Schizosaccharomyces pombe: one gene and its partner. The gene in region 2 interacts genetically with the main gene of each other region. Each region holds a gene or a part of one and is shown on either strand. Other genes may lie near its edges.

Region 1 (8,102 bases), on a different chromosome or scaffold from region 2:
ATTCTTGTCTGTTTTAAAGAAGAAAGCTTCTGAACTGCCCCTTTTTTTTTAAGCATTCATTGCACACCCTTTCCAATGAAGCATTGATCATACCAAAATTGTAAATTAAGGAAAAAGAAAAATAAGAGTATCAAAAATAAAGAAGTAGGGTATATAAAAGACGGCTCCTACTACAGAAAAAAAGACCACGCGCACAAGTAAAATATTGCTTTATAAAAACCAAGCCACAGTAGCTCAGAGTTCTTGACAGCGCCTTGCGATTGAAAAATTCTTGGAAATTCTAAATTAATTTTTGTTTTCCAATAGCTTTTTTTGTTGTTGCTCATCAATACCCAAGAGGTAAAGAGCGTTTTGCAAAGATGGAAGATTGATTTTCGAATCAGCCTAATTAAAAAAAAAAATCGAGTTAGTAAGATCATTAAAAACATAAATTTGTAAAAAAATTTCGAACATACCAATAATTGAACTTTGGGTTTAGCTTTGAACGCAATTCCTAAACCGGATTCGGCCATCATGACCAAATCGTTAGCTCCGTCCCCAACAGCCATCGTTTCGAGCTTATTTAAACCCAACTCTTCCCTCTTTTCACGCAAAATGGAAGCTTTTCGTTGTCCATCTACAATTGCACCTTGAACTTTTCCAGTGAGGAATTTACCATCATCGGAAAATTCAAGTACATTGGCATATGCATAGTCCAAGTCCAGTTGTCCCTTGACATATTCAGCCATTGGAACAAATCCACCACTAGCGACAACAAGAGTCGCACCCATTTGCTTAAGGCAATGACAAAGCTGTTTAGCTCCTGGAGTGAAAGTAATTTTGCCAATGACTTTATTTATGACATCGACGCTCAACCCTTGTAGTAGAGAAACGCGACGACGAAGTGATTCTTGAAAGTCAATTTCCCCATTCATTGCAAGAGATGTAATCGTAGCAACCTCTTTCTGGATGCCTGCTTCTGCCGCGAGCTCGTCAATACACTCTTGTTGAATCAACGTCGAGTCCATGTCAAATACTACAAGCTTCTTTTTAGTGGAAAATGTTGCTTCACTCAAGCAATTACAGTCTACATTCTCAGTAGCAGAAATGCGGTTACAAGCGTCTTTAGCATCTTCAAACGTTCCTTTAAGTTGGCCTGATACTAAAGTCCACTGTTCCCCCAGAGAACGAGTCTTCCCATCTCTAAACAAGGAGGAAATCTGTTCAAGCACATTTGGACGATTTGAGGAAACAACTATGGCTGCGTTGACCATGCTTATTAAAAGGTATGAGTGGGTTTGCTAAATTTTCTAAGTTGAAAAGCGTTGTTTTCGGCAAGTCCCATTTACTAATTACTCGGCTATTGATTAAGCTTAACGTTAAACGACAACAAGTACTAGGTCAATTTAAGTTATTTGAAAATCTCAAACAAGCTTATTTTTTGTTATTGTTTACAAATTTATCATTATCTTCAAAATGCTGTATAAATTGTGAAGTTGGTAAAGTGGTGCCTAAACTCCGTTTTCAAACACAGGTTAATAAGCAAATATTTTTTTTATACATTAAAGCAATAAAGCAAGAAATCATAACTAAGAAGATGTTTGGAAATATTGCAATATATCAGGGCAAATATTCCAAAAATGAGAGCCTACCATAAAGTAGAGAGTGAGATATTTGTAAAGTGAAAAAGCACTAAAAAAATATTTGGCAATGTAATAATTGTTCTCTTTCATTCCTAAAAGGTTATACACAATTTAATGTGCTTTACTTAGAGAATCGCTCAAGTACCTCTTCTGATACACCTTTAACGGGAAAAGTGCTGTATTGAATAGCAGAAGGTGCCTTTCGAGGTTCTTTACTCCTATCTCCTCGAGGATAATACTTGTAGCTATAATCAAGACTCTCATCACTTTTTCCGCTACTGCTTTTGGTGTCTTCCCAGGGGTGAGCATTTTTTGAAGGAATTCGGACTTGATCTTCATGTTGTACCAACAAGCCCCGCTGTCCTAAAAAACTGTTAGCTACAATCATTTAATTTAAACAATCATATGTAAATGCGCTTGTAAAATAAATATTCTGTAGGAAAATTTTAACAGAATATTAAAATTGAGTATAATGTTTCATTAACTGCGCTGATTTCTAATTTTCTACTAATTTTTAACATACCAAGCATATAACCAGCAACTCCAAAGGTATAAGTCATGACACACCAAGTTATCTAACAGCAAACTGATCAGCTTACGAAATAATCAACTCAATATATTTTTCAAAAAAAAATTGAGCTTACAAATAGTTCTGGATATTCTCTTGACCAGCGAACCAGGCGGTTCGACATAATTGAGCGCATAATTGACATGATGGTTCCAAAAATAAAAAGTTCTTGTTCGCTTGAATAGTTTGATTAATTGTTTCGAGATGGAAAGGATCTAAAATCCTTTTATGATTGTAAATGTCAAAATGAAATACGTAGGCGAACATTCGCAACATTTATGACAAGCATCAATATTTATGGGGATCGCCACCTGACGCAGACAAGACGTAGCAACGGTGCGCATTAAGAGATTCAAATTTGAATGGATAATAATATCATAATAATCACCAACTCCTTCTACTAAAGTGGTGAAAGAAGCAACTTTCCAATATTTCTAGATTTTCCAGCGTTTGCAATCGGGATCGAACCGCCCTTGTATTTATATTGCTTTATACAGTTTTATAATACTTTTCAGATACTACCTCTACCCTTGTATTATACTATAGAATTTGTTAGGACACTTATTTACTAAACTTTTCCTAAGATTATATTTGTAAATAATAAGAAGAGAACACTAAAAAACTTCGCAAACAAATAAAAATGGTTCGTACCATTATAAATAAATATAGTCATTTTTCAAAATTTAGCTGCCATGAGGTTAGTAACTTAATAGTAGTTGCTGACCGCAAATGTTTCTCCAGTAAAGTAGGTCCAATGTACAAGTACGTTTAAAAGCGTCATTGAGATTTTCTAAGGAATAAGAATTTAATTCATTTCCCTTTAAAACAGGAAATAAAACCAAAGGACCGCTTGGAGTCATGCATATTGAGGAATAACAATCTAATTCGATAATCTTGTGAACTACATTTCCACTAAATACAGTGAATGAAGCCAGGATGGTTTTTCTTAGATGTAGATTAGTAATAATTTTTCTTCAAAATTTCATCCATAACTGACCATATACCGTGTTTCTTGAGTTATTTGTTTACAAGCCATAGAGGTTATTGGGTTATTTCGGGGCTAGTGAAAGTATAGAGATGATCCTTTAAATTAGCCCTTTCATTAATAGCTTCGCGATAATCATAATTTCAATAGTTGCAACACTCTAATAAACTTTTAAGATCTTTTTTCGTTGCTTCCGTACCTTCATTTCTAATATTTTCTCAATTACACCCTCCCATTATTTTCCTGCTAGTTATTTAGCCATTTTAAAAAAAAAAAAAAAAAAAAAAAACATAATACACAAGATGAAAATGGTTTACTAGCTAGTCTACTTCCCATGATATTGGTCTTTTATCTTAGTCTTTGGAGTCTTTATCGAGTCATATATTACTAATTTTTCCATATATTATCCACTTTCTTTACAAACCCGAAATTGCACGGATAGTATAATTTATTAAACTTGATTTTTCTAACTTTGAGCCCTGAATTGTTGTACTGACAGGATGTTCCAATTACAGTATCGATGAAATATATTTAAATAAAAAGTTTGAAAAATATAAATACTAATATATTGGCACTCTTAAATAATTTTTTTTACATTTTATTCGTAAAAAAAAAATAAGTACTTTATTTATTATTATTAATTTTATTTCTTCGGTTAGTATTTTTTTTTTTAGCATTTCATTTCATATTCTGTTTTTATTTCCCTTCTCTTTTTAATACACTCTCATCGATTAAATAGGCGCCATTCCAAATATTAGTTATTAGAGTCACATTCTCTAATTGTTTATTTATTTTGATTTCTTTATTTGCTTAGTAAACAAACTTTGGCGGATGCTAATATTTACTTCACCCTCCATCGCAAAAGGGGTTCATATCCTTACCGACAACAAAACTACAAGATATAATACCAGGTGTAAAAATAGCTGTTTCTTTGCCATGTTTGTTGTTTAGAGAATATAATCATGAGCTATGAGAAACACAGTGATGCTAAGGCATCCCGCTACGCGTGGAATCAGCCATGGAATCCATTTGAGGTGACTTTGTCTGATCCAACGTATCCCATGAATTTGGAAGAAAAGAACCAAATTCCTTATAGATTTCAATCCGTTCCTGATGATGTTCCGGAAGTACCGCATATTGAAAGCCGATATAAGAATTTACCAGGAAACAATATCTATTTATGTTGTGGTCGATTGCAAATGTCATCTCAGTACAAAGCTTTCCTCATTAGCTTGTTTGCCTTGATTCTTCCAGGAGTCCTTTTCTTCATCTTTTCTGCTTTTTGGCTCTGGCATCATGTCTCTCCCGCTGTCCCTATTACCTTTGCTTACCTGTATGCCTTAGCCGTTGTTTCCATGTTCAAGTGCTCGACTGCTGATCCAGGAATTCTTCCTAGAAATGCATATTCTTTAACTTATAACCCTGCCCATCCCTGGTCTGTAATTCCTGAAGACCGTAAAGTCCTTGTTGGATCCACTCGGTCTGACTCTGTCTTTGTTAATACAGTTTATTGCCATACGTGCCACTTATATCGTCCTCCACGTGCAAGCCATTGTCATTTATGTGATAATTGTGTTGAATACCTTGATCATCACTGCATTTGGTTAAACACTTGCATTGGTCGTCGAAACTACAGATATTATTTTATTTTTTTGTTATCTGTCGTTCTTTCAGCTTTGTATCTAACTGGATTGGGGTTCTATACTTCTATAGGAAGTTTTCATGAATCCACAGATACAAATTTTGCGGCGCATCTTCGTCGTCCATGGGCTGGCGTATCTTTCTTCCTTGGCATTTATGGGGCACTTGGAGCAATACTTCCTGGCATCCTTTTCTGTTACCAGTGCTATTTAATATCTGTTGGTCAGAATGTTCATGAATACTTACGAGCAAAGAGTACAGAAACTGAAGATGTACATCCTTTTCATGACAGCATATGGCTCAATTTTCTGGTTGTCCTTTGTCGTCCTAAAAATGTGAGTTACGTTCGTCCCACTAGGAAGTCTTACGTGTAATATGCCTTGGCTTCACAAAGAAAATAAGAAATAAAAATTTTTTATTTGCTAGACAATAATGCTCAAATCGCTCACGCATATATGCTACACTCTTTCATCTTCCCCTTACCAATTTACTTTTCAGTACCGAAATTAATTTGGTTTTAATAACCGGAATAAAAAAGATTACTCCCCTCTTCAAAATTTTTACCTGGATAATGTTTTGTTCTTTTTTTTCATCCTTGTCGTCGACCCCTTCAGCTCGCCCTTTGTACTTTACAGAGAACAATGTACAGAAACAAATGTTTATAAAACTATTCCTTGTTCTCACCAATCTCTGGAATTATTAATATTTAATTTGGCTGCTCTCTTTTATTTTTAAAGTAATGCTGCTTGTTTTTATGACTTATATGATAGATAGATGGTTTTACCTCCTTTAGCTAAACCCCTTTCCAGTCTAATTTATTGGGATTTGCTCTTTATTGTTCTTTTTTATTATTATGATTGCCTTTTAGGCAAATCAATGTTCCATAGGTAGATAGTTTTTCTTTTTTTAATGAAATAGCTTATCCACATTTAGAGGATAGTTTTCTGGAAAATAATTTGGTATTAGACTTCTTTAATTTGATACTTGAAACTTCTATAATATTAGAACTAGCTTTGCATTACTGACCGGCTTGTTCATTCTTACTCTGGTTCATGTTGCTCCGTTCCCAGGCTTGTGTTTTCCATTCACCCTCTACAACCATTCGGAAAGCTGGTTACTGTAGTTAGGCTATAAAACTAATGACAAACGGCTCTTAAACCTAATGTCTTCTTTACACGAGCATTTACGCCCCATTCCTGAGCCTTTTTCTTTAACTTTGCTACTGGGAACAAGAGAAACACCTGTCACATTTCTGTTCCATTATTATTTATACCATGCGTTGAAAGCAAAGGAAAGTACTTGTTTTTTAACATTCAGTAAAACCTTAGATGAGCATGCAATTAGTATGCGTAAATGGGTATGTAAAAAGAGGGATTACGATTGCATAAGTGGTTGAATGATAAACTATTCGTATGACTAACCTACTGAACCAATATTAGGGAATGGATATTAAAACGAAAAAAAATTTCTTCTTTATCGATGGCTTCAGCATGCTATTTGCTCCTATTTCCAAGCCTTCGAAGGTACAAGCACCAGAAACCAAAAATCACATCAAATCTGTTTTCGCGCCTGTGATCCAATGTGTGGAGGAAAACGATTTTGAATTTGAAAACTCCACGATCATCATAGAAGATATTGATATTTTACAAAGTACTCATGCTCTCGATTCCACAAAGATTCAGCAGGCAATTTTGGAATTACGAAAATGTTTCAGTAGAGTCATTGTAAACGTGACTTTGGGAGCTCCGTTACCACAACAAAAGTCTTTAGGCTCTTCAATCGGACACATGGCAACTAGATGTATTTCCTGTCGGCCTTTGACTAGCGGTAGCGCTCGACGAATCACCGGATTCCTGCGTCTTTCTCGAATGCCAAATCACTTTCGTAGTGGAATATGCGAGACCCCGGAGGATGATGACAAGGAGCTTTTATACGAGGTAACGGAAGCAGGTGCTAAGGTATATTCCAAAGGGCAGGTGACGCTGCAACTCTAAATTCCTACTTCATCTACTTTTTCTCAATTATCTGCTGCTGCAGTCTCTTCGTCTCCCTTCTTTTCCACTTGTACATTATCTTGCACCCACCGTTTTACTAAAAATGTTCGTTGAGGCCTGGATTCATCTCCTTCTTCATTATCCTCATCATCTTCATTAGAATATGTATCTACAACAACAGGAACCCATTCTCTGCTCCAATGCACTGCTGTTTTTTCATTTTGTTGAGGTTCCACACTTTCTGAAGTCCTATTCATTGTATATTTGTAGAGTTGCGAGTATCACAAGGTGCGCGCGAATTGGTATAGGTGTAGGTTTACAAGGAAGAACAAGACGCTCTCTGCACAGTGTGCATTGATTTGTGAATTTGGAATTAACGAACTAGGTTTGGTTATTTTTTTATTTAAAATAGTGCTTTTTTAATTTAAAAAAAATTGATCGAGCCAGTTTGGTATTCATTGAAGGTTGTAGGGTAAATCGTTGTCATACAAATTTTTTATCGCATTTTTTGGAATAACTACTGGGTTGGGTAATATTTTGAAACATCTTTCATACATATAGAAGACCGTGCTACGAAATTGTTAGGAGATATGAGTGGTATATCAAAATTAAGTGATTTTTGGGTTGAAAAATATAAAAAGGAGTCGAAAAAGTCTTGGGATAAGTTTTACAAGCGAAATGAAACAAGGTTTTTCAAAGATAGACACTGGCTTGATCGTGAATTCGATTGTTATTTTGGATTGCCCGATAAGTTGCCATTGACTATCCTTGAAGTCGGATGCGGTGTTGGAAACCTCGTCTATCCTCTGCTAGAAGTGCAACCAAATTTGAAGATATACTGCTGTGATTTTAGTCCTCGTGCTATAGATTTTGTGAAGGTAAGGAGAGCTACTAAATTTATGCCAATTTGCTCTGAAATATTTAATTTACTAACCTTTGTCTTAATTTAGAAGCATTCCTGTTATAACGAAAATAGAGTTTTTCCTTTTGTTAATGATATAACCGAAGATTCTTTGCTTGAAGTTTTGGGTTCTGCTTGCATTGATACATTAACTGCCATCTTTGTATTATCTGCCATTCCACGCGAGAAGCAGCTTCGTTCTATTAAGAACTTGGCTTCAGTCATAAAGCCAGGAGGGCATTTGGTGTTTCGTGATTACTGTGATGGCGATTTTGCTCAAGAGAAATTCATGACAAGCGGTGACCCATCTATGATTGATGAACAGACGTTCGTTAGACAGGATGGAACTTTATCACTTTTTTTTCGAGAAGAAGATATTGCTGAATGGATG
Region 2 (8,465 bases):
ATTTGTCGATCATCATATTTTGGGAAAAGCTACATTTAATAATATGCTAACTAAAAGTAGGTCTGGCTTGATTCGAACAAGCACTCCGACAGAGTAAACCAAATTTTCAAACCTTTTTCTTTAAGGAAAAAAACCTTTGAGCACGAGACTAAGCCCCATTGTGATACATCAACAAATGGATGCGACCGTATAACTATCAACTACGACGAAAAACCACAATTCAGAAATGGCGTAATCAACCATACCGTTCGTACACTAGACGCTCAAGAAACACAACTCATAGACTGTATTCCTTATCTACTCCATTCTGGACAAGGAGTTATATCTCTTGAGGTTTAAAGTACAAAGGCTAAAGGAAAAACTAGCGCCATTAATGAAACCGCTGATTCTTCAAGTCAGCACGTTACCGCCTGTCCCAATCTCCATGGAGATCAAGACGCAAGAGTCCGGGGACTTTCCCTAAAGCTGTTTAGAGGAATAAAAATTCCTGTATGACTGCTTCAACCACGATCGTTCGAGCTCAAAGGTATCATTTGGAAAAATTAAAGTGGAAACAGTGGTATATATATTACTGACTATTTACGTGACTGTTTATAACCCTAACCTGTTTTTGGATTGAATAGATCTGTTGCTCTGCGATTCTTCGACGAGCAATTGACCGACATAGCATTTAATACTTTCAGTATATCAATGAGCAATGTTCTTAAGTGTTATCGGAGCTGTAGTAGCATATCACCTTGTAATAAAAAAGTTATTGACAGAATCCCTCATTCATAACGACTACACTGAATATCATTATTTATGAATTGTGTAATATAATGTCTAAAATAATAGTATACTGGCGACGTTATCTTCAGTTAATTTATCAAAAGTATGATACGCTAAATGGGAGAATGCATTTCAATGGCTGCCTTAGGTCAGAAAGTTGAGAATGTTGAAAGGACACAGCGCCAACTTGATCTATTTATGATAGTCCCTTTACTACCTTCCTTGAATCCAAAGTGTTGAACTTAGTTTACTTCTGCTCAAATTCGTCTTCTTCAAAGCCTTCATCCCGTAGAGATGTTGACTTCGTGGAGAACAATTTCTCTACTGCAGAAAACTACCAGTCGCTTCATTAAGCGATCAAAGACATATGCTGATGTACGTTATAACAGTCAAGCATTGCAAAATCATGGAGTTCCTGGTAACAAACGTAAATGGATGAAGAGGTTCGTATTTGTTGGTGCTGCTGGAATAGGTGTCTACGCTTGGGATCGAGTGTATAATGCCCATGCACTTACCCGTAGTATTAGAACAGTATACACCGCTTCTATAATTGCGGCTGACTATAAGTTGAATTTCAGCGAAAAAAAGGCAGACAAAATTGATGCTTTGCACCAAAGAGTAGCACAGAGACTGTTTAAAACGATTTACAAAAATGGCGGTTTATACATCAAGATGGGTCAAATCATTGCTATGCAATCAAATAATTTGCCTGAAGCGTATGGGAAAGCCTTTCAGGGAATGTTTGACAATGCACCTCAAGTTGAATGGGAAGAACTTCAAGACATATTCAAAGAGCAATATGGAAGACCAGTAGAGGAAGTATTTGCCAGCATTGAGAAACGTGCTGCTGCAAGTGCCAGTATTGCGCAGGTACATCGTGCTGTTTTACCTAGCGGTGAAAAGGTCGCGGTAAAAATTCAAAAACCAGATGTTGCTAAGCAAATGTCGTGGGATCTTCTCGTGTACAAATACATGATGTATGTTTATGATAAATGGATATTTCATATCCCTCTCTACTTTACGGTTGATTATGTCTCGGAAAGATTACGTTCTGAGGTTGATTTTACAACTGAAGCTAACAATTCGGAACATGCTCGTGAAGGGGTAGAAGAAACTGATTATTTAAGAGATAAGATATATATACCAAAGGTTTATAAAGAGATTTCTGGAAAGCGAGTAATGGTTACTGAATGGGCTGATGGCATTCCCCTCTATGATCAAACTGCTCTTTCTGAAGCTGGGATGAGCAAAAAGGAAATTTTAACGAACCTTTTCAGATTCCTTGCCTTCCAAATGTTTCATTCGAAACAAGTTCATTGTGATCCACATCCTGGAAATATCCTTGTTCGAAAAAATCAAGCAGGCTTGTGTCAAACGGTAATTTTGGATCATGGGTTATATGTATTTGAATCAGAAAAGTTTAGAAAAGAATTTGCCTTGCTTTTCACTGCAGCCTATTCATTAGACAAAAAATCTATTCTTCAGGTAATGGATGCTTGGGGGATTGGACAACCTGAGCTTTTTGCTAACCGCATGTTAAATATTCCAATGGATGAAGAGCAACCTCACACTGGTGAAAAAATTATTTCAAAGAAAGAGGCCTTCCAACAGCAGCTTGCTGAACGCAAAAAGTTCATTGGCTTCTTACAGGACTGCACTCGTTTACCGAAAGAGCTGTTAATGCTAGGTCGCTGCTTAATGCTTATTCAAAAAAATAACCAAAATTTTGGGTATCCAGTGAATAGTATAGCTGTTATGGCCAAGGTTGCTGATAAATACACTACCGACAAACCTAGTCCAACTTGGTATCAACGGCTGTTGTCGCCTATTTTTTGGGTCTTTCAACATTTATTTTACCCTGGAAATTTTCGGTTGCCTGAACTTACTAATGATAAAAAATGATATTTATAGTAAAGATTACTTTTCTTTATGGAAAGCCAATCTTTGACCATAATAATATAACTTCACATATTGCCTACTTTTCTCGATAAGACACTTCAGAGCTCCTCCTTGTAAAAGTTAAGCTCCTCCCTATACGAGTCAAACTTTGTATCGTTATTCACTATTACAGTACATCAAGCTCGGTATCTTATATGTCAATGAAGTATACTGATAATATAGTGATACTAAACCGAGTGATAAATATATATATATAGTAGATCAGTAAGGTTGAAATCTACCTACCGCATATTTAACCACAATGTCAGACTACGGGTTTGCAAATATTGAGGAAGCTAAGGCAGATGCAATTTTTAAATTAAATGCTCAATACCATCAGGATGAAGATCCCAAGAAGGTTAACATGAGTGTTGGCGCCTATCGTGACGATACTGGTAAGCCTTGGATTTTGCCTGCAGTTAAAAAAGCATCTAAAATAGTGGAAGAACAGGCAAGCTTCAACCATGAATATTTACCAATTGCTGGATTGCCTCGTTTCACTAAGGCTGCGGCTGAAGTTCTTTTCAGACCCAATCCTCATTTATTGTCCGAGGACCGTGTTGCATCTATGCAGTCAGTCTCTGGTACTGGTGCCAATTTTCTTGCTGCTAGTTTCATTGAGACTTTCTATGTAAAGCACACTGGAGCCCATGTATACATCTCCAACCCTACTTGGCCTGTCCATCGCACTTTGTGGGAAAAATTGGGAGTCACTGTAGATACATATCCTTATTGGGATGCCAAGAATAGATCTTTTGATTACGAAGGCATGCTAAGTACCATTAAATCTGCTCCCGAAGGAAGTATATTTTTACTTCATGCTTGTGCTCACAATCCTACTGGTATTGACCCCACTAGGGAACAATGGCTTTCTATATTCGAGAGTCTGCTTTCTCGCAAGCATCTGGTAGTTTTTGACATTGCTTATCAAGGTTTTGCCAGTGGTGATCTGAATCGTGACTCTTGGGCTCTAAACGAGTTTGTCAAATATAACAAGGACTTTTTCGTTTGTCAGTCATTTGCTAAAAATATGGGTCTTTATGGTGAACGTACTGGTTGCATGCATTACGTTGCAAAGGACGCTTCCACTAAAAACAAGGTCTTATCTCAATTGTGTATTGTTCAACGTAACACCATTTCTAACCCTCCCGCTTACGGTGCACGTATTGCTGCCGAAATTCTTAACAGTCCTCAATTGTTTGCTGAATGGGAACAAGATTTAAAGACTATGTCTTCTAGAATCATTGAGATGAGGAAACGTCTTCGCGATTCTCTTGTTGCACTCAAAACCCCCGGTTCTTGGGATCATATTACACAACAAATTGGAATGTTTTCTTTTACCGGTTTAACGCCTGCACAAGTCCAATTTTGCCAGGAGCGGTACCATCTTTATTTCAGTGCAAATGGTCGTATTTCTATGGCTGGTTTGAACAATTCTAATGTAGAGCATGTTGCACAGGCATTTAACCATGCTGTTCGCGAGTTGCCTTAAACTGATTATTAATACCAAAGTCACATAGATAAGTATTGGATTCATGAATACAGAATTTTGGATTGTTGTAAATTTGACGAATTTAGGAACAAATTCTTTAGCAATTTAGAGAACTAGTATATGCATTTATTCTTTGAATTTTTGAATAATATGAAGTTATCTGTTCAACTCATACACCGGGACTTCTCCTTTGTGAGTTAGACATCAGTATTTGGCTCATTATTTGCAAAACAAGTTGATATCAGTTTGTAATCGGATATGTTTAGACAAAACTGAGAAAGAGTTCTTTTTTAATAATTCATAACTTGCAAATTGATTAATGACAGAGTATTTGAATTCTTTGTTATATCGAGGTTTACTACATTAATATAATACAACTTTTAGCAACTATTAGAGCCAATACAAAGAAAAGAAGTCAAAACTTAAGTAATACAATATGAGTATGATTTTCTTTGTTTTACTTCCCTATTGTGTCAACTATAATTTTAAGCAGGAAATTTTGAAAATATCCTAATAACTCGAAAACCAGGCTAAAGCAAGGAATATCCCTCTTTGCATAAATTTTATTTCTTCTCGTGTCTTTCCTCCAATAATTAATAATTATAACATCTCTAAATGTGTATGAGTTAGTTTGTTAGGACATTTTGACTCAATAATTCTTCTCGATAAATTTAATAAAGAAAGTTGAATTCACATACCTGAATTTAATATACAATCATGGGGAATTTACATACGTCAATAGCTGTAGCATCTATTTGCTTAACCAGCGCCTTTCTTGGTTGTGTTTTTGGTTTGGGATTTTTCGTATGGATTATATACGGATATAGTATTGGAGGTTTTTTTGCATTTCTGAGTCTTTTTCATCTATTAGAGTTTTACATTACTGCTCGTTTTCAAGGTAGTCAGTTATCATGGGATTCTTTCATATTGAATAATGGCAAAGCCTACTGGTTAGCGATGTTAGTCGGCCTTTTAGAATGCTTATTAAGTGGCGGAAAAAGTTTTGCTAAGGTAATAAATTGCTTAAGATTTCCGAGCTTCTTAATCAACTTTATATTTTCGGTATATCAGACATCTGCTCTGGGATTTCTTTGTTTGGGACAATATCTACGATCCTCTGCAATGGTACAAGCCGGTCAATCTTTTTCTCACATTGTAGCTAGTAAAAGAAATAAAGATCATTTGCTTGTCACTGATGGGATTTATGCTTACGTTAGACACCCATCATACGTTGGGTTTTTTATCTGGGCTTTGGGCACTCAAATGTTGTTAGGAAATTTTGTCTCAACATTACTATTTTCTCTAGTTCTTTGGAAATTTTTCTCACAGCGAATTACTACCGAAGAAGCTTACTTAGTTAGTTTTTTTGGTGATTCTTACGAACAATATCGAAAGAAGGTCCCATCTGGAATTCCCTTAATTCCATAGGTTCACTATTATTGTTATTTGAATAGTTGATAAAAGCATACTTAAATAATTTGTATCATCATCAAAGCAGCTTTTAAAGGTCTGACTATACAAATCTCATAACAAATTATTTTTATAGCCTTTTTCTCCTTCAAGGCTAATAGATATCAATTGTCCAAATAACAGCGCTTTGTCTTGCAGAATTTTAAAGATGTTTTCGTAGCTCCGCTAAACATCGAAGTGCCATTAATATGATCAGCTAATCTGAAATTTTCTCTTAAAAAATAATAGTCTGTTTACTTTTGAACCACAATAATTCTGAAAAGATTTACTGCTTAATCATTACTATTCATAGCTATAGTACTCTTAACAAACATTTCTTCTTCTTAGTTTTCGTTTATGGTTTTAACTATATTATAATTATCGCTTCAGTCAACTTTATGTAAATAAAGAAAAATAGCGAAAAACAACTGCAATATTGTGCAATTTATTTGCTGTAGTTCGCAAGCTCTCATTAATATGTGCTACATGCGCTCACTTGCTATATTTCAATTTCGCCGCAAGCATACAACTCTGCTTCACAATCAATTCCTTTGTATTAAAGGTCCTTTTGAAAAGTTTGTTGGCCGATATATATATAAATATATATCTATCCTTATATATCTATATAGTTTCTTTTCCAGTGGAGTGCATACAAGAGGAATACAGTTTTACCGCGTGAGTGCGGTGATGGAATTGTTGCAGCAGTGGACTCAGCAAGCCAAAGCAGCTCTTACTCAAGCCAGGCAACTGTGTGGTGATGCACATAAGTTTAATGAAGATGCAAAAACTGATTTGAGAAATTCCATAAAGCAGCATCAACAGCTAAAAGAGTTGGCGAAGCTCACAGCATCTCAATGTACTCGTTTAGACTCTTCAACAGCTCTTATTAAGCAGTTATTAGATCTAGTTCAAAATTATCCAACATTTAATCAATTAAACGTCCTTCATGATCGATTGGAATCGTCACTTAAACGTCTTCGTGACTGTACATTAGATCCAGCCTTAGGAAGCGAATATACCAATCTTTATGCATTTGTAGATGATACTGCATTAGAAGATTTGAAAACCAGGCTCCGAGGCGTAACTGATGGTGTTTGGAATGCTTTCGAAAAGCTAGCGGGTTTACTGGAAGAAGATTTGTGTGCCAATTATCATAAACGTTTAGAAGCTGTTTCATTAGACTTCTTACCTCCCGCTTATAACGATACTGCCGAAGAACTTGCGGATTTGCTTTTGCAAGTTGCTCAACATTACGATCAATGCTCCGAAGCTCTCAATATTTATGACACCCTTTCTGATGCGGAGAAGAAAGATCTCCAAGAAGTGCTTCAATCAGACTCTAATCATGTTCCTTCGGTATTGACAGAACTTAGGAGTGGATTAGATCAAACAATTCATTATTTCAACGCAGTTCAAAGTTATAAGTCAAAGGTAGATTCGGCAACATCGATTTTGGAAGCCTTGGCTGAGGAGTTAAACAAAAACCAGTTGACTAATCAAAGGCATGAAGCCGCGCATGAGTTAATGAGGGCGCAAACCGGCCTGGAGATTCCGCAATTAGCTCAAGAACTCGTGCAGCTTGAAAGACATTACACACATTTTGCTAAAGCGTATACCGCTCTCCTTCAGGAAATTCACAGACGACAAACCTATGAAAATTGTGTAAGATCCATTGTGGACGAATTTGTGGGACGCCTGGAGAAGGAACAACAGGCGGAGGCGAAATGTCGTATCGATTTTTTCAATCAATATGGTGATTATTTACCCCAGACTCTATGGGGAGCTGTAACAGATCCTCCTTTACATTTTGAAATTATAGAGCACCAATATACAGAATTGCCAAACGTAAAGGTAATTCCTGATAAAAACGATAAGAAATCGAAGCAACGTGAAAAATCTTCTACTACAGCCTCTAAGCGATGACCCTGTTAGCCATATTTTACGATTTTTAAAGTCTATAAACGTATAATGATTTTAGTTATGCTACTAGTTTATGAGTATTGTATAGACTTTTCCAATAAAGATAATTATATAAAATAACCGTAATTTTTTCCCCTGATTACTTTTTTCTTCCAGATTGTTTTAGTTTGCGCTTCTTCTCATACTTCGGAATCTTGGATTTTCTTTTCTCAGCCTTATCTTCTTTGGTTTTTTTTTTCCGTGCCCTCTTCTCCTCCGGTGTCTCCTTTGCACGTCCGTTTCCTTTACCTTGTTTTGCAGATGATTTTGAATCCGAAGTCCGTTCTTCTTCATTTTCCATACTACTTATAGAATTTGCATCATCATCGCTCTCCGAAGTCTCATTTGGGAGGATTTGATCGTTTTGATTTTTTGTAGTGTCATTTAAATCCAATTTTTGAAAGTCTGTATTTAATAAGTGCTTATATACAAGGCTATTAACACCTCCGGCGTTTACGATTTCAGTATCTCGATCAATGTCGTATACCTCATCTAAAGTCCGAGGAACATAAGTTTTTAAGAATTCCTCTTCGTATTCTTCTGTAGTAGGTTCTTCCTCATAAATTGCATTTAACCGGGTTTTCATGGCTTCCTTTTCACAACTTCCTTCTTCAGTAATGAATTTAAATAATTGAGGTAAAGATAAGCAACCAGCATTCAAACGCCTAAAGAATGTAGAAATGTTTAAAATATCCATTCTTAAAAAATCGATGCTCTGCGGGTGGTCATGTTCAACCGATTGTGATACATCAATAAAATAAACTTTACCTTTATGATAAAGTAAATTATATTCTGACAAGTCAGCATGCACGAGATGACAAACATGAAACAAAATACGCATATTCCGTGCTACAAGCTG

What was found.
Region 1: of mam4 (region 2) and erf2, changing one enhances a phenotype caused by changing the other (phenotypic enhancement), as found in Schizosaccharomyces pombe (one study listed by BioGRID).

The regions. Positions count from the first base shown.
Region 1 is NC_003423.3:1,863,485-1,871,586, reverse strand, and holds erf2 (palmitoyltransferase Erf2), read left to right. Parts: upstream 1-4,054; 5' UTR 4,055-4,137; coding exon 4,138-5,190; 3' UTR 5,191-5,766; downstream 5,767-8,102. Other genes in the region: phosphoserine phosphatase Ser2, read right to left, coding at 286-384, 456-1,253; SPOM_SPBC3H7.08C (uncharacterized protein), read right to left, coding at 1,744-1,985, 2,146-2,197, 2,267-2,335; elongator complex subunit Elp6, read left to right, coding at 5,979-6,173, 6,256-6,810; protein tam8, read right to left, coding at 6,834-7,067; trm141 (actin binding methyltransferase), read left to right, coding at 7,401-7,688, 7,761-8,102. UniProt on the Schizosaccharomyces pombe protein: The erf2-erf4 complex is a palmitoyltransferase with a major role in driving sexual development. Palmitoylates ras1. Palmitoylates isp3. Palmitoylates rho3.
Region 2 is NC_003424.3:1,226,521-1,234,985, reverse strand, and holds mam4 (protein-S isoprenylcysteine O-methyltransferase Mam4), read left to right. Parts: upstream 1-4,713; 5' UTR 4,714-4,915; coding exon 4,916-5,626; 3' UTR 5,627-5,891; downstream 5,892-8,465. Other genes in the region: SPOM_SPAC10F6.14C (ABC1 kinase family protein), read left to right, coding at 1,063-2,670; caa1 (aspartate aminotransferase), read left to right, coding at 2,969-4,198; autophagy-associated protein kinase activator Atg17, read left to right, coding at 6,335-7,570; rio1 (RIO family protein kinase), read right to left, coding at 7,707-8,465. UniProt on the Schizosaccharomyces pombe protein: Mediates C-terminal methylation of the isoprenylated C-terminal cysteine in M-factor.